3 linked regions of the Drosophila melanogaster genome follow. The protein of the gene in region 3 interacts with the protein of the main gene of each other region in a pairwise test. Each region holds a gene or a part of one and is shown on either strand. Other genes may lie near its edges.

The links. Proteins that work in one complex are often made in the same cells at the same time.
Region 1: the proteins of CG13996 (region 3) and Drep4 interact in a two-hybrid assay, tested with the Drosophila melanogaster proteins (one large-scale study listed by BioGRID).
Region 2: the proteins of CG13996 (region 3) and mRpS7 interact in a two-hybrid assay, tested with the Drosophila melanogaster proteins (one large-scale study listed by BioGRID).

The regions. Positions count from the first base shown.
Region 1 is NT_033779.5:13,281,883-13,289,129, reverse strand, and holds Drep4 (DNA fragmentation factor-related protein 4), read left to right. Parts: upstream 1-2,667; 5' UTR 2,668-2,720; coding exon 2,721-2,960; exon of another isoform or gene 2,961-3,178; intron 3,179-3,304; exon of another isoform or gene 3,305-3,311; coding exon 3,312-3,435; exon of another isoform or gene 3,436-3,489; coding exon 3,490-4,478; 3' UTR 4,479-5,218; downstream 5,219-7,247. Other genes in the region: Uvrag (UV-resistance associated gene), read right to left, coding at 40-450, 503-825, 889-1,756, 1,817-2,190.
Region 2 is NT_033779.5:10,384,157-10,389,681, forward strand, and holds mRpS7 (mitochondrial ribosomal protein S7), read left to right. Parts: upstream 1-2,505; 5' UTR 2,506-2,587; coding exon 2,588-2,631; intron 2,632-2,705; coding exon 2,706-3,318; 3' UTR 3,319-3,496; downstream 3,497-5,525. Other genes in the region: CG5096 (uncharacterized protein), read left to right, coding at 40-471; Cdk1 (Cyclin-dependent kinase 1), read right to left, coding at 686-926, 984-1,487, 1,873-2,021.
Region 3 is NT_033779.5:6,017,696-6,023,082, reverse strand, and holds CG13996 (uncharacterized protein), read right to left. Parts: upstream 2,249-5,387; 5' UTR 2,234-2,248; coding exon 1,919-2,233; intron 1,867-1,918; coding exon 1,411-1,866; 3' UTR 1,365-1,410; downstream 1-1,364. Other genes in the region: H2.0 (homeodomain protein 2.0), read left to right, coding at 3,890-4,406.

The DNA of each region.
Region 1 (7,247 bases), 7.3 Mb from region 3:
TTTTGTTTTTGGCTCTAAATATATGTATATATAGATTACCGTTGAGTTGACGCATAGCCTTCGATTGCCAGTGCCTCACTCACACCCGGCGGCAACAGCTGCTGGAGCAGTGCATCCTTGACCGCATTGACGCCAGTCGGCAGTGGCACATGATTCATGTCGACCGAAGAGTGCGATTGCGACAGGTGCGGCGCCGTCAACCCATTTGCCAAGCGTGCTTCTCCACAGCCAGCTCCAACTGCAGTTCCATCCCGTTCGTCGACCTCATCCCTTTGCGTTCGTTCGATGTAGCGAAGAGTGCTGAATAGCTCCAGCAGATTGCCAAAAGTGTTTCGCAGATCGCACTGGCCCGTGATGTCGAAGCACAGCTGCGAAACATTCTGGCGCAAAAGGTAGATGGCATACTTTGTTTGCTGCGACGGCAAAATGGAGCGTGTATACAGAGGAAATCTAAGATGGAACAATAAGATACCAAAAGGTAATATTTAGTCTGTGTGCTTACTCTCTTGTTGTGTACGTCAACTCTTTGATATCGTCCACTATCCTTGCTTTCGATGGCTCGTACAGAATACGGTTCCTCAGAGGTCGATCCATAATGATGGCTAACATCTGCACCAAATGGGCAACATAACCCAGTGCCGCACTCACTGCCAGCGGCGAGACGTTATCCAGAAGCTGTGCGTTTGCCGCCTGACGTGACTCGCTCGTGTATTGCTCCATGTGGGGGAAGGCGATGCCGCAGATACTAAATTGCCGACCGCCCACATTCTGGATGTTATAGATCTCCTGTAGCTCCAACACCAGTGTGGACATTCGGCGCTCCACCTTAAAAGGGTGAAAAGGTTTATTAATATACTTGTTTAATGTTATTTGATTCCGCAGCCCCACCTGCCGTTCTATTTGTCTTTTTTGATCGCGCTGTTCCAGATGTTGAGGTGCCAGGGTTCGTAGCTCCAGACGTTCTTTTTCCAGTCGATGTCGCTGGCTGTGGAGCTCCCATTGCTGTGCCTCCCGCTGTTCTCTCATCTCCTTCAGAAGTTGACGGGTGCGCTCGTTTCGTTGGCGAAACGTTTCCCGCTCCGCTTTAAGTAGCCGCTGTTGACTGCTTAGCGCTTCTATCCTTCTAGTTAGCTGCTGGGCATTATAAAGCGTGAGGGGCGCGATCTGCTGCTGCTCGGCGAGCAACACGCTCAGGGCGCGGCCCATGGAATGGTACTGATGGGCGGAGTAGTCGCCGGACAGCGATGTCGTGCGGGGCTTCAAGCGCAGCTCGTTCCTGGTCACACAGTGTACACTGAGGCGGGCTATTTCTCGGCAAACCTCGGCCATTTGACGCCGCTTCTGCTGATGCAAGCGTTGCAGACGTTGCAACGTGAGAAGCTTTTCGAGGTTGTTGCTTCGCCGAATCTCCTGCCGTTGGCACTTCAGCTGTGCATAGCGCATCGTACTCATTCGCAGCACGGGACTCGAACTACGACTAACGGCCGGCGAGTTTATGCCCTCATCCTGCGGCTCTTCTAGTTTCTCTTCCTCCGCATACTTTTGGTAGTGCAAATGCAGCTGCGACTGCAAGGCCTGCTCGCTTATCATCGACGGGGAGGCAAATTGCTCGCCATTCAATTGAAAGACCAAGCAATTTCGTCCGCACTGGGACAATGTGAGGGGAGACAGAGGTATAAGGCCGGAGAAGTAGACGCCCCAGCTGAACAGTAGTTCAGGAGGGCGTGGCAGCCTGCTGGGCGTTAACTGGGATCTTCTGGAAGTAAGTTGGTTGATGATAGCAGAGTTCTATTTGCAAGCAAAGTCTCCTATTTACCCGAAAACATCCTTATGTCTTTGCTCAACCTCAGGCGGTTGGCCATCTCTTCTTTCCGCCGAATAGTGCTTCCACACCTTGACACAGACACACTGCGCATTGGTTTTCCGCCAGGCCTCGTCGTCCGTACAAATCTCCGCCCACTTTTGCTGTTGGTGACGCTGCGGCAGCTTTTCGCTGGTGTAGAACGCTTCGCTAGCCTTGTCCGTGTGTAGTGTGTAGTAGAGGAGCACATCATCCGGATCATCTAGCTCCAGCGACTTCTCATGCGGCCAGGACTCAATATTGAATCCCTGAATTCTGTTAAGGTTCCGCAGTCGAAGTTGCTGGGTGGCTAGGGGCAGCCACTTGCGGCATCGCGGCCGTAGATTCATCGTAAAACGCCTTTCCGGGTGAGCTGCGGATTACGCGGAGCCCGTAGCCCAGATCATTGTACACTAAGACTACGTTTGTTATAGTTTTTCCACAGAAACTTTTAACAAAAAAAATGATTACCCGAACAGCTGTTTTTAGATGCATAAGTGCTGCAAAACACTGAAGGCAATAGTGGTGGGAAATGCGCCGTTCAACTTGTATTTTATTAATTTGGCTATTTTCATTTTATTAATTTACACATTATTTAATTTAAGAATAAATGAAAATTTTATCAATTTGAATTGATTAATAAAAATATAAAAAATATTTCGTTAATTACAAAACACGGGAAAAAATAAATTATTATTATATAGCTTTTTGCAATTTTTAGCTAAAATTGCAGCACAACTAAAGAATCTTTCAATGAGAATCTAGTGTTGAGAAGCGCGAAAAATGCCTTGTTCTGCTAGTTTATTTTGCTTTGTCCGCGGATAAGGAAACTTGCTGCGAGGACTACATTCCAAAGTTGACTTTATTATGAGCCAGAACGATGATCAGCTACATTAGAGATGCAATCATGTCACCGACAACACGCAGCAGCTCGAATAACAAGAAAAGCAGCCAGCCAACAGGCGAAGTTCTCAAGGATGTGAGCTCATCCGAATCCAGGGGAACAGCAGGTGCTCCAATGCGTGGCTACAAGGTTACTGACAACGAGCGAACGAGGAAATACGGAATCGGAGCCAATTCCCTGGAAATGCTGATAGCCAAGGCAAAAAGCAAGTTCCCGGTAAGAAAAAAAAAACAGGAAAAACTCCTGCGTAAAAGCGCGAAATATACACCCACCCACGTAGATGGGCTGAAAGTTCCTGGCTCTGGTAATTTTCAAGGCCATGTCCCTGGCAGTGGCTTCCGCGTTTGTTTGGCTCTCTTTCAATGCCACTAGTAAATGCCAATGCGCATGTCCTGTATAGTAGAGCTAACCACCTGTTGATGGAACGTCCTTGCCTGGCAAAAAAAAAAAAAGAGAAATGTGAAACAAACTGAAGGCCCCTGAACCAGGAATTGGGCGACCTGGCCTCGTTATAATTCGGCCATGTCAAGGGCATTACAATTAAATCGTTTTTTTTTTACCTTTTAGCTTCTCGAGCCACATTTGTATTTGGCTTCTGATGGCTTCGAGGTGTCCGACGATGAGTACTTAAAAAGCCTACCCGCCCAGACGCTGTTCATAGTGTCTGGCCCGGATGCAGTCATTACAACAGGTGAGCTGCAGTTTAAATATTTAACTTAATCACAATTAATCTGTCTTCTATTAGATGCCGATTTTGAGTTTGAGAAGATGCGACAACAATCGCCTTTGCTAAAGGTGGCTGACATTTTCTACGATTTTATCGAACAGCATCCGGAAAAGTTCCGCCGCATGATAACGGAGTATGAACACCAAAAGCAGCGACGCGTCCTGGATAACAGCAAGACCCACCTCAGCTTAAAGGCCGAGCACGTGGAGTGGTTCACGGGCGGCGAGGAGCGCTTCCACTCTAAGGAGGAAGCTATGGCCACACGTGCCCAGACACGTGTGCGAGGCTACTACTATAAGGCCAAGGAGGAGCTGACCCGCAATCCCTTGTACCGCCAAAATGCCAAGGCCCGACAAGTGATAAACTCTGTGCTGGAGAAGTTTCGATACCTGCTCATCGGTTGCGACTTTTTCTCCATGATGTTTGACCGGAATTGCAAGCAAAAGCATGAATTCCTGAAGCAGCACTTGGGCGACGAGGAAACAGACGCTGGCAGGATACCCAGCAAGAGACTGAGGCAGGTGATTAGGGAGTACACCAAGGAAAACTGCATCCTCGACGAATGGTCCACTTCCTTGTGCTCCGACTTGGGTGACTTCTATTGCCAGGGCTCCTATTCGGAGAATGGCAACAGCTGCTCTAAGCAGCACACTATTAATCCGTACGCTTCGCGTGAGAATCTCATTTTGTTTCAGGTCTGGAATCTGGACCACCAAATCGAACTGTGCCGCACAATCCTTCCCGCACTTGTTGCAAATGTGGAAGAACTTGTGAGTCATCCGCAGACCAAGTGTTCAATTCATAAGAAGCAAGTGGTCGATATCTCAGTACTGGAGTACTTTCTAGAAATATTCTCCCTAAAGAATCTCAAACTAGTGCACATTGTCTGTCATGAGAAGGCGCAGCGCTCAAACCGTTCGAATGGTCGCCTACTGTGCTCCGACTGTCATGAGTATCGCATTGTGCAAGAGCTGATGGAAGTCCAGGTGGACAGTCTAGCCACTTAAATGGTATGTGAGAAATATATAAAAGTTACCTAGCCAAGCAATATTGTACACAATAACTTTACAAAATGTATCTACGAGTTTTGTTGCTATTTTTAAACAAATATTGTATATTCAGTTGTTAAGCATATTATATTGCTGATCTCATATGGGATAAGTTGTACAAATGGAAATTATCTCGATGCCAACTATAAAAACTTACTGTTGAAGGTTTTTCATAGTAAATACGTAAACTATTAACATACTTAACATATGCATTTAATGTTCATATAGCTTTTCAAACTATTCAAATTAAGTGACTATGCAATATCGGTATATAATCTAGAGTTAAAAGTTAGTTGATTGTAACGCTAGTAGCTAACAATTTAAAGTTGGCGTTACACATCGATCAGCAAGTCCAAACTATGAAATATGAAAATATTGTATGTTATGAAGTATGTATACTCATGTAACGAATTTAAACAAAAACGTAACAGTATGAAAAGGTTTTGCTACACTTGGCTTCTCTGCACCTCTACAAGTGTTTTATTTTTGTATGGGCCATGTATTCAAGAGCCAAATCGTCGGTTTTATTTCCATCGATATTGTATACAAACAAGTACAAGTTTTTTGATTTGACTTCTTTATTTACTAAAAATGTTTACTGCATATAAAATTGTACAACACAAAATATAGTTTATTTATGTATCAAATAATAATATTCAAATAAATGTGCAGAACGTTCGTATGCATACGAACTAAGTAAAATAATAAATATTGATGACAAACAAAAGATAATATTCATAAATGAAATAATATTGTTCGCAAGTAACAAAAATATTTAATATATTATTAGTCGTGTTTGATGTGCGCTTTCGTGTTATCCGGATACATATCAAGCATAGTCGATTTCTTGGATTTTGTTTCGTTTCGTTGCTACCTCATTGCACCTGCATTCTTTATCTTAACTTTTAGGATTAGTATATATTCGCTTTCGCTATTTGCTTCGTAGTTGTGTTAGAATTGTTTTGTATGGTTTTAGTGCTGCTACCAAATCGCGTTCAACAATAAAAACTTTCGATTCTCAGTTACAATGATGTTTGTTAGTGTAAAGAAATTTTACTAAAAACTTGTTCCCGTTCCCAAGTTATTTGATTGTGGCGATCCTCAGAGTGTCTGGTACTTAAACTACATAACTATAACAAGCAATCTGATTAATATTCAGTTTCGTTTCGATTTCTTTATGATGCTGTTGAGTTGCTATAATTGATTTCTATGGCGTTGAGAAATAATTATAGATCCGATTGACCAGGTCCTGAAAAAGATTAAACCAAGAAGAGTGTTACTTTAAAATGGTTTTAACTGGCAGTGACAAACAAATAAAGCTAACACTAAATTGTGGAAACTTTCCAGTCTTGACTTGGCCATGAACACCGATTCAGGTTCAGACTTACGTACATAAAAAGTAAACGTAAAAAGTAAATAAAAAATATATAACAAAATCAGAAATATTGAAGCAGCAACTGAGAAAGTGCAAGTGCCAGGCAGCCAAAACAATTTTGAGAGAAAACTTCACCTTTTTTTTAAACTTTTGTTTGTATTATTCATTCAATTCAGTTCAATTCGATTTAAGTTTTGGGGTAAAAGCCATTCATTGTCATTATTAAAGTTAACGATTAATGTTTGTTAAAATATTTATTTCTTATTGTGTGTATAAAACAAGTTAATCGAGTATAAGAGAAAGAAACATTTAATTATGCATTTGTAAACTCATGAATGGTTAATGTAACGAACGAGTTTTCGACAAGTCATATTGTACAATTTTTCACTTTATATTTTTTCACTCCATTATTTCGATAGTTTTTATTTATGGTCTCAACAACAAAAGAGTAATCTTCATTCGTTGTTCTTTGCAAGGTGGAGTTTGCTCTCCAAGCTCAAGTTTTTAGGGAAGCATTTGGGGAAGGAACTACAATAGTGTAATAAAAATATTTGCGATGTAAAAGGGATTTTTTTTTATAAATATCTATGGGTCCATTGAACAATAATAAATGGGAAATGGTAAATGCATTTACTCATAGTATTTACTTTAAATTATTTGTTGATTATTTGCGCATACAAACCTGAGTTAATTTGTTCGACTTCAATTGCAAAGATCGCAAATATTTTTATAGACAAATCAAAAATAAGAATACGGCACACATAATAAAGTCAAACAGCGGCGAAAATAAAATTAAATACATAGAATAGAAAGAGGACAATTTTTGGAATATTATGAAAACATTCAATTAGTTAAAACTTGGTTTTGGGTAATTTTTAATAATTGCAATTTTAGGTACCTTAGGATTTTGAACGAGTTTTACAAAATCATTGAGTTGAGATGAAATTGGTTTTTATTTTGTTGTTTATTGTGGCGCTTGATAGTTTTTTTTTTTCAGTTTTATATGCTTGTTATTATTTGGTTCGATTTCATGAGTTACGGCTTACAAATTTTAAAATACTCATGTAAGTTTAGAAAATGATTTCGGTTGGTTTTTTGGGTTTGCGCTTTACTGAGGTAACAAACGAACGAACGAATGAACGATTTCCTTTCATTGGTTTCAATTGGTTTATTTACATGTTTAATTAGATTTAGTTTATTAATGTGTTGAGTGTATTCGATATTCATAATGTACAATGTGTGCGGATAGTTCAATGATGGTGAGATATGAAATGCAAAATCTGGCTCTTTTTTTTATCACACATTCCCAGAGGCAGTGACTCTTTCGGCCAAATGCAGTAGTTTCTTAGTTT
Region 2 (5,525 bases), 4.4 Mb from region 3:
ATGTAGAGCTTTAATCAACTAAATAACATAAACTTTTAGGTTTACTTGAATAATTGCAACGTGTCGACTTTGCCGAAAGAACTACTAGTGCGCTGGGATAAACTTAAGGCTCTGGATCTTAGATTCAACCCGTGGAATTGCGACGAATCCAATGACTTCTTGATCAACGTCTTGATAGATCGAATCAACAAGACCACGCCCGTTCTGGCCAAAGATGTCAAATGTGGCGGTCCGAACAAGTTAAACGATGTTACGCTGCTCAGAGTGGCGAATGAACATATGATAGAAAGTTCGACGGGCAGTCTTATATGGGTTGGACTCTTGGTTGTCCTGCTCATCGCGGTGCCGACCATCATTGGTGCTTACGTGATGAAGAGGCGCGGCTGCTTTGGCGTCTTTAGACGTCATGACAGCGGTGCTAGCAGTGCTCTCTATAATAGGACTAGTTTCAACGAGGATTTCCATATTTAACTTTCTTTTTGTATAATAATTAAAGCCTTGAAGCCTTATTATTCTGTTAGAGCGCTGGTAATTTGGCGTAAATCTGTAAATACACTTACATAAATTAAGTAAACGTTGATTGTTTTACACCCTTAGTTTTATTTACGGCTATTTTGCTTTAGATTAGATACCAAGATCTCTTGTTTTAAAATTCTTAGTTAAAGTCAAACGAGAATACCGAACGTTAATTTCGAACTAAGCCCGATTGAAAACCATTGAAATAGGGATGCTCCAAAATGTCCTTGGCGGAAATGCGATGAACTGGATCGTAGATTAACATCTTTTGTATGAGATCAATACCATTCGCATCGAGATTCTTTAACTGATTGGTCAATTGGTTCGTGGACCAGCAGGGGAACGTGTTCTTATAGTCGGGTAGCGAAGTAACGCCCGGCCAAATGTCTTCGGTAGGTGTTTTCAGAATTCTGCAATCAATGAGTGTGAGTATCACAGGGAATAGAAAGTAAATTACCTGTGGTTACCTAAACATTCTAAACAACTGGTCAATTTCCGAGTCACCCTGGAATAGCGGCTTTCTCGTTGCCATCTCCGCGAATATGCATCCAATGGACCAGATATCGACGGGACAGGAATACCGGGGTGAACCCAGTAGCACCTCCGGCGCTCTGTACCACAAGGTAACAATCTCGTGCGTATAAATGCGCACCGGAATGCCAAAGGATCGGCCAAGTCCAAAGTCGGCGACTTTTATGAGGCCACTCTTGTCGATTAGTAAGTTCTGCGGCTTAAGATCACGGTGAAGTACTCGCCGACGATGGCAGAAAAGAATGGCGCTAGTTATTTGGTACAAATAGCTACGGACCAATTCACTCTCCATGTGCTTATCAACTGGCAGCGAATCCATGTATTTCTTGAGGTCCATCGATAGGAATTCAAAGATCAAGTATATGCGGTTCTCCTCCATCAAAACATCCTCCAAACAGACAATGTTTTCATGTTTCAACTCCTTAAGCAACGAAATTTCTCTGTAATGGATATTAAATATTACTACATTATAGAAAAAACATGTGATTAAAGTATTTTAGTTATTGGTCTATCAGTTGAACCAGAAAGTATTCGCAGGCTTCCAATTAATAAACATAAATAGAAAGTATGATGATGTACACATGAGCATAAGTACGCATATAGGATTGTACATACACACACATATGTATGATGAACATAAGCCGTAACATAATTATGCTAGACTTCCACAGTATAAATTAAAAACAATATTGCAAAATCTTCAAACCAACCCATAAGATGTCAAGGAACATACTTTCAATTAAGCATATAAGCCATTTGAATGGAAAAGTCGCGAAAGAACATGAAACATTTTGAGGCTTGGGCGTCCAAGCCGCGGCATTTTACCTGATCGCGGTTGATGGAACGCCTTCGTCGTCGGACTCCAAGCGGATTTTCTTCATTGCCACAATTTGGCCCGTCAGGCGGTTGCGACCCTTATACACCACGCCATATGTGCCCTCGCCAATCTTCTCAATTTTCTCAAAATCCTCCATAATTTATTAAGCTATTTCTTTGCAAGCCACCGACTTTTAAATTAGCGCGTTTTTGACGTATATGCTCTAGTATTACCAGACAGTTTAAACGATGCTAAGCTAGCTACATTTATTCATTTGGAATGTGGGAATGAAACTCAATATTCAGGCAACTTATTGAATTGCTGTATCTTAAAAATGTTGTTAATTTTTTTAAAGTTAATTTTAGTGTACTGTAAAATTCCACGCTTTTTTTTATAGTGATTTCAATTAATTAAGACATCACTTTGTTTGAGTTCGGAGACAAACGTTTCTGCTAATATACTATTAATTAACTTATGAGTTTTTGGTGCAATTAATTTCTATTTTATATCTTTTGAAGGTGAGTACCAGTAGTACGGTACTAAAGAAATTAATTTAAAAAATGTAATTGGAATACCGCAACTGTTTTACTTCATTTTTGTTGTTTCAAAATTACTAAGCTCTTTGTCGATATCTTGACACACCTATATGCATGCCGCAAATGTGCATAACATATATATAACATAGTTTTTTTATTTTTTGCCGACACAGCAGACGATGTAAACATGTCGCTTTTAGGTAGGATTGCAGAGAAAACTTCAAGGCTCAGGTAAGTTAAACTTCTCTAAAGTGTTACTTATCTCTAAAAACACAAATGACTGATCACCCATTTGTTTATTGTAGCTGCCTTCGATTGATGTCGGTGTATCCCACACACTATGTCGAACCAATTGTACAAAAATATAAACAACTAGAGCAAAAGAATGATCTGTCCAAGCTTTACCATGTGCCCATCAAGGCGGCGGTCAACAAATCGTCTGATACCATCTTTCACGACGATACAAAACATAAAATGATCAATTATATAACGAAAAAGGGGAACAGTGCCTTGGCCAGAACGCTTTTGTCCAAGACGCTGGAGCTAATAAAACGAACCCAGACGGAGCACATGAATCTGGCCAAAGGGGAGAAGACAACCATAAACACCAATCCCGAAACGCTTCTGAAACAAGCGGTTGAAAACTGCCGACCGCTCCTTCAAGTGACCGCCATAAAACGTGGTGGTGTCACCTATCAAGTCCCTGTTCCCATCACCACGAAGCGGTCATATTTTCTGGCCATGAAGTGGCTCTTGGAAGCTGCCCGCGAGAAGGAGCGTAAGGTGTCCCTGCCGGAAAAGTTGGCCTGGGAGATTCTCGACGCAGCCCATGGCCAGGGAAGGGTCATCAAGCGAAAGGACGATCTGCACAGGCTGTGCGAAAGCAACCGCGCCTACGCACATTACCGATGGAGCTAAATGCACAACAAACTGTTTTTCCAATGCAATAAACTTTTCATATACCTGTTAATATCTATGATTAGGATTTGTGTCCGGGGAATGTCTTAAGAGAGCGGAATATCGAAATAATTCCTGGATTTATGGGGACTAAAAACGAGGACCTTAGTAAAATTGTATGAAGCTATGATACCATTATAAAAACACATTTCTAATATTTTTTCTTTATTTTTCCTTATACGTTGTTTATAGTAGATTTGAAAATTGGATTTTCCAAATGGTGTTATAGCTATTGAAACCCAAAGTTTTTCTTATTACACTTATACTAAGTTTTTATATAAATTTCTTCAACCCATTTACCTGGTTCGTCGTGTTTTAAGCTTCTGAATTTAATTTAAAATTATAGCACAGCTTAATAACAGAGTCTACTCTTTTTAGAATTTTTCTATTTAATTTCAGTATAAAATGCAATTTTATACAAATAAATTATCCTGATTGTCTCAAAAACATATTTTTTCAAGTGCAAAGTTAAAAAATGTAACCTGTTTATCGCGCAACGACAACGGTGTAAACAGTGCGTTAAGGTTGTCGAGGTGTACGTCTATCGAAGGGACTATCGATTCTTATCGAATCGCAACGCTACAGATGACGCACGAAGAGAACAAAGATGGCGATCCCGAGCACACGAAAATTAAAACGAGCTGAATGATAAATAAAGAATTTTTTACCTATAGTTGAAATTCGCATAAGCGCAGTGAACTAAAATAGTTAATAGAAGTGTCATGCATATTTGCAATGTGTAAACGAAGAGTTTATCGCAAAACGGTTTACTTTAGCTGTGCATTTTGATATAATCCCAAAACACATAATCGTACTACTAGTTGAAGTCGACTGGACGACATTACAAAAAAAAAAGTTGGGTAAACTTATCAAACTGTTGTTGAAAACACAAGGATTCTCGGTATTAATACGAAAGAGATATGTATATGTAATACATACGCTGCTGGTGGCTCAACGTCAACACTCGCTGCAACAAAAGGAATTGCATACATAGAATTAACAGTGGATATTAGGGTGAGTACTTTTCACGAAATGTATTTTATTTCGGTGCAGGGTATGTTTTCTAGCCGTTCGATTACACTTTTTATGCTGCCCATGGATCTGCATACGTTTATTTGTTGAATGTGTGTATATACCCGTGCGTATACAGCCTTATGTACGAATTAATTCCTCTTAAATGTATGTGGATACCATTTTCATGATTCTGCATACATACACATGTATGTATGTATATGTATATACGAATGCTCGTAAACAAAGTAACTACTTATGTACAAACGAGTAAATGGGTGTAAGAGCGTATGAATTAACTTTATTCTCCAAGTGCGTGTGCTTGTGTGTGTGTGTGTGCGTGTGCATTTGTTCGTTTGGGAAGTTATTTTAAGTTTTATTTTCGTGCAACAAACTCACGGTTTTCATATACCATGTACGTGTATATTTAATGTAAGTATCATGTACATGTGTTCATGGAAAATGTTGTGAATCAGGTGTAGAAACATTTCAAGAATCGGTATTGTGTTAGTTTGTTAAATAGATTAATATCATTAATGATTATAGCATTAAAAGGCTCCGTGAGTTTTAAACAATTTGTTAATTTTTAATGTTTAATCTTTGGAAAAAATTAGGCATTTAAACTAATGAATTGAACTAATTATTATTGTTATCTGTAAGGTTAGCATAAGAAGTTAAGTATTTGTTTGACTAGGAATTCTGATATAAAACAAGAAAGGTCAGGTATAACATGGGTTCCCAAAAAAATATGTAAATACAAATATTTGTATGAAGCATATTTTTATTAAACCAACCAAATATAACAGTTTTAGTTGTGCTAGCACACATTTATAAACTATTTTACAGGTAGGAAAGGTTCCAACACTTGCCACGCCCACTTTTAGGACGAGTTCAATTTTCCTAGTGCGCTTGTTTATAGAAATATAATCAGTTGTAGTTGCATACTTTATATCATTTAAGTATTTTTTAAAAAATAAAATTAATCCTAATTCGATAATTGGGTCAACAGTAAAAAAGACTTCTTTGAAGTTTGGATCATTGTAAAATGCCTATTCATTTTCGCTGGCGCTAAAAGTAGTCAAGCCACTTTTTCCGCATTACTTGTGCAGGACTTGTACTTCGCCTGATAAAATGGTCTTAAAACCAAATAAAAATCC
Region 3 (5,387 bases):
GTGGGATGAAATTTGGTCTTCCACCATTAAGTTCTTTGACTTAAAAATACTTTTACATTATACATTATTATAATATATTATTGAAAAAATGCCTTTCCGATATTTAAAGGCATAATAAATTAACATAATCTTACTTGGTGACCATAGAAATGTACCTCTGCCCTTTAATCCAGAGTGGTGTTACTTTTGACCAGTTAGTGGAAGAACCCACTTTCGAATCCGTCCCTGATCTCTGACTAATATGTAGCGCGTAGGTCTGCGAGGCGATCGAGACCGTAGGTAACACGAGATGTGGTGGAGACTTACAAACGAGGTACGCGTCGGATAACGCTTGCTGACGATGATCGCTGGGTCCTCGAATCGGGTATTCGTCGGGCATGGCTCTCATGGGTAGGGGTAGAGGTATGGGCATGGGTATATGGGTATCAGTTTGGTGTGGGTTATGTGGCTGTTGTTATTGGTGGCCTACTGTGGAGCCTGGAGACAGCAACACATTCATAATTTCTTCCGATTCGTATCGTTTAAACATTTTAAATTGATTAAAATGCGATAAATCATAATCGCCAACGTTGGCCCGAACGCAGACACTCTGGAACTTGGTAACTTGGGAACTCGGGGAACTAGGGAACTGGATGAGTGGGGGACTTGGGGACCTCCTCGGGACCATGTCCGGGTGATGGAACGATTTATGCGCCTCGAACATAATAAAGTGTTAACGGAACGAGTTATTAAGGTAGTCTCAATCCTATGGCCTAAGTTAATAAAGGCCAAAGGCAATTTGCATGGCCAGTGTGTGACGGCGTGGCAGCGTCTTAGGTTGCATCTAGGCGTACATAGCTCTGAGCAGGGGACTCAATCTCGGTCTATGCTATGCTCACCCACCGATCGACGGACACACAAGATGTCGGGAAATATAACATAAGCCGACCACACGTACGTCTCCCATGCCGCACAGCTGGACGCCGTGCCCAGATCTCAAAACTCAGAGCGAAGCTCAGTTCGCTGGATTGCGGAGGAAAAGCTGGAACGCCGTGTCTTGTGAGCAGAACAATCAATAAATTTGAACACGTGAGCGGACGCGAATGCGGACGGCTCTCGACGGTAACAACACTGATCCTATAGTCCCCAGTTCCCAGTCCCCCACTACCCCTCCACAAAACAACAGCAAAAGCAACAATTCAGAGCGATAAGTGATCAATGCGCCGTGTCGACTGATTGGGCAGCATCGGTGATCCAATGAGGTGGGGCAGTCGTAGGATTTGACTTGGAGAGCCACCAATTTGTGCTTATCGTCGATGGCGCAGAGAAAGTGATTTAAGCTGACCGTTCCTTCAATTAAAATTTAATTGTCCACTAAAGAAGTTACTTTATTGCTCCAAAAGCTAACCACGATTTCAAGTTGAAAGTGAATCAGTAGCAATCCTCGAAGTTGTACCACGGTGTGGCATCCACATCGTCCGTAATGATGGGTTCCCGGCGCGCTGTCGATGGGCCATAGAGGTTGTAGCGTCTGGAGCCAGCGACGATCTCGCGATACCGCCTCACCGGCGCCCTGGACATGTGCAGCTCCATCAGATCCCAGTCGTTGACGTCGCGGAAAACGGAGCGAATCATGTGCATGCGGCCCAGTAGCTCCGTCTCCCGCAATCCCTCGTACCTTCGGCCAGTGCGGGCCCGGAATGTCTTATAGACCTCACTCTGCTGCTTGGTCTCCGTCGCCGTTTGCAGCTCCTTCCTGTAAAGCGCTCGTATGCCGCGGCCCAGGTGGCGGATGTGCTCGAAGTTGCGAACGTTGAGCGCAACCAGAGCAACTGCGTCCAGATTCAGCAGCTTGTGTCCATCAATGTAGTTCTCCCGAAAAGTTTGCTGTAACGAAGCTATAGGTTACCCAACATAGTGAGTAAGAATCTTAGCCCACCTCGTACTCGGGATAACCAAAGTTGCGCAGCCAGTCGGTCACATCGTTGATGCTCCACTTGAAGACCTCAGTGCGGGCTTGGGAATCCACGACGGCGGCGCAGAGATTGAAGAGCGAGTCCGGCGAGGCCTTGAAGGGTAGCGGCACATCCTCCTTGTCGTACTCCACGTCCGGAAACATGTAGCTGGGATAGCGAAAGCAGAACTCCTGCTCATCCTGCGGCGGCTCACAGATATCCGGACTGTCCATGCCACTGGCACTGTGCGGCAGTGGTGACGGTATGGTGGAGCACCTGGACGCTGAGAACGACTCCATTCGAGTGGTGGCAGCGCACTGTTCCTGGGCCAAAGTGAATTGAGTTGCCCCGCAACGATTTGGTTGCGGTTTCCAGCGATTCCTCAAGAATAAGTGGCGTTCGTGTCTGTTTACATAGTTTGATTGCGTTTCGCTTTCATTTGTTGTATGCCCTATAATTTTCCGGGAAAAGTTGTTGGCTACAATCACTAAGGCTCAATTTGCACTTTAAATGGGTTAATGGAATTTAAGCCATGCTCTTTCCAATCAGTATCTTTGAACGTTCGGCATATCCTGGAATGTATCTGAATCTTTTTTTTTAAGTAAAAAGGATTATTTTATTATTAATCGGACTTCACTTTGAAGAGGATAAAAGTGTCACCGACTGGCGATGGATTTTCCGCTGCCATTGCATTTGCATATTCCACATTTTCTGGGTCACTTTGTGGGCTTGTGGTGCTAGGGTGTTTTTGGCACCAAATCCGCCCGCTTGGATGGGAGTTTTGTGCCGGAAAGTATGCTATCTTAAGGTAGTCACGACAATTTTCCTATTAATAACGCCAGTTTCGCTCCGCAATTTACACATTTCTACTTAAGTTTTCCAACCCCGACGATCCGTTCGTGTTCCGTTTTGCGGATTTCCGCTTGTGGAATGCGGTTTCTGATTTATGACCACCAGTCCCGGTTACCCACTTCATTGAACCCAGACAGCGTGGAGCAGGTGGAGTTCGCGCAGATCGCTCAATCCCAAGCCAATGGAAGGCACATTCCTTGGGCGCGAAAGCGAGATGCCGCATCAGCGCCACCAGTGGCTCCGCCCACCACTGCGGATCGATCGCATTGGCCAGAAATCACGAACCACGAGCCACTCGACATGGCCTCTGCGCAGGGAAACCGGAATTCGGATGGGGTGTGTGTGTCTGTGTGTGGGAGTACGGGAACATATGGAGAAATCGGTAAACAAATCTCGGCTGCGCTCGAGGAAACGATCTCCGACTGAGCTAATGACACAGCGGCATGCTTGTGTGTAAACAAGCGATCGGCATGGCAAGGTATCCCATCTGTGTGTGGCTACAGTGGGATCAGGTCTATGGTAAGTGGATTAACATAATTTTAGGGCACTTTCTAGAGGTATATAGATCTTCAGCGGAATAGAAACCAATGTTACCACCAACCGAAGCCCAAAAATCTAATCTTTCTTGATAGTATTACTCTTCTTGAGTATTACTTTATAAACAATATACACGTTGGATAAAAAAATATCCTGGTTTGTATATCCTGTATATCGAACATATAGCCATTATTTATTGTTAGCATTATATCCTGATCATCTCGCACTCCTTGCCCCACTGTCAGCACCAGGAATACACAATCTCAGCGAGATTAACCCCACCGCCAACAGACTGTTCCGCGTTGGCTGGCCGATCGGCAATCGATGGCTGGTTGAGCGTGCTCCCTGGCCGGTTCCGATCAGTTCTGAGTGGGATGTCTTGCAAGGCGGTTTAATCGGAGGTGCACGAGACCTAAGCCAAAATTCGCGATCGTTTTATTGGTGCACAGCGACGGTGTTTTGGACATGATAGATAGTCCCTATCGATTGTGAACGTGTGAAATCAGTTTTGAGTGTCCTGTGTCGAGATTCGTAGATAGAAACCATATACAACACATATCCGGACAATGTTACTACACGAGAGTGCCGCCAGCATGGAACAGAGTATGCCCGAGAACCTCAGCACTCACATGTACGGCGAGTGTGAAGTGAATCCAACGCTGGCAAAGTGTCCCGATCCAGTGAATGTCGATCATGAGCTGCCCACCAAAGAATCCTGTGCCTCGACTACCATAGTCAGTACGTCGCCAACCAGCGCCACGAGCACCACCAAAGTCAAGCTGAGCTTCAGTGTGGATCGTCTGTTGGGCTCGGAACCCGAGGAATCCCACCGGCAGAGCTCCTCCTCGCCCTCGACCAAGTCATGCTGCGATGGCAGCATTCTAGCCTGCTGCTCCTTCCCCCACTGCTTCAGCCAGGCGAATGCCGAATCCCGTAGGTTTGGACATGCCACGCTTCCGCCCACTTTCACACCCACTTCATCGCACACGTACCCCTTCGTGGGTCTGGATAAGCTGTTCCCTGGCCCCTATATGGATTACAAATCAGTGCTCAGACCGACGCCAATTCGGGCAGCAGAACACGGTAAGGATGCACTATACTCAAAAGGGAACATCCTTTGAATCCGAGCAGGTTTTACAAAAAAAATGTCCATTTGAAAGTAAATCATTCAAAATTACCATTAAGTGCACGGCATTTGGAACATCATGAGCAAACCGAGTTGATAGAAGGAAAACATTTAATCTCTGTAAGGGATGCCTTAAATTAATATGAACTATATTGGTACTGATCCGTATTACATGGATTATAGGTACCTAAGTGTATTTTTAAGATACTTTTAAACTTAAAAGGAATCAGCTCCATACAGAAAGCTATTGAAACATCATTCGTTCGCAGTGAACCTCTTCTAGTTCCAACAACGTACCACTTATCAAAATAATATTTTATACCCATGACTCTATCTTGTAGATACGATCTATCATCTGCACTATTTCAATCTCCCCGTATGTTGTGTGCACTTGCAGCGCCAATAAAACTGATCAAAGCTAATCAGATATTGCGATTTGTCAATCATTCTGCATTCTTTCCATGGAAATATGCAGGATCTCAGGGAACGATCAAACGAGTTGATGAGGTGGCTTCGCCATTTGCCCATCAAAATTCCTTAGCTATTTCGCTCTGTTTTTCAATTATGGACTATAATTATTAGCCATGTTGAGATTTGCAGAGAAAATCGTGAAATGGAATTTAGCCAAATGGGAAATGAACATTCCTGGAAACACAAAGAGTGAGAACCTAAGGCGCAGCCCCAATAAATTTCACGTTTTTATTTGAATTATTAGTTGATCTGCAGCCATATTGTGCAATATTCCTGCGGCCAAATGTTCCGCGCCTTTGGCTCTTGACGAAAACAATTCGATTTTTGAAATCGACAACAAAATAGTCCGGATTGTTTTGGGTATTTGCCGTACTTCCTGCTGTTTTTGTATATCTGGGGACGAAGACTTCTTATAAAGCCTGCAGGCTGCCAGCGCACTTTGATCTTGTTTATGTGAAAATGGAAAT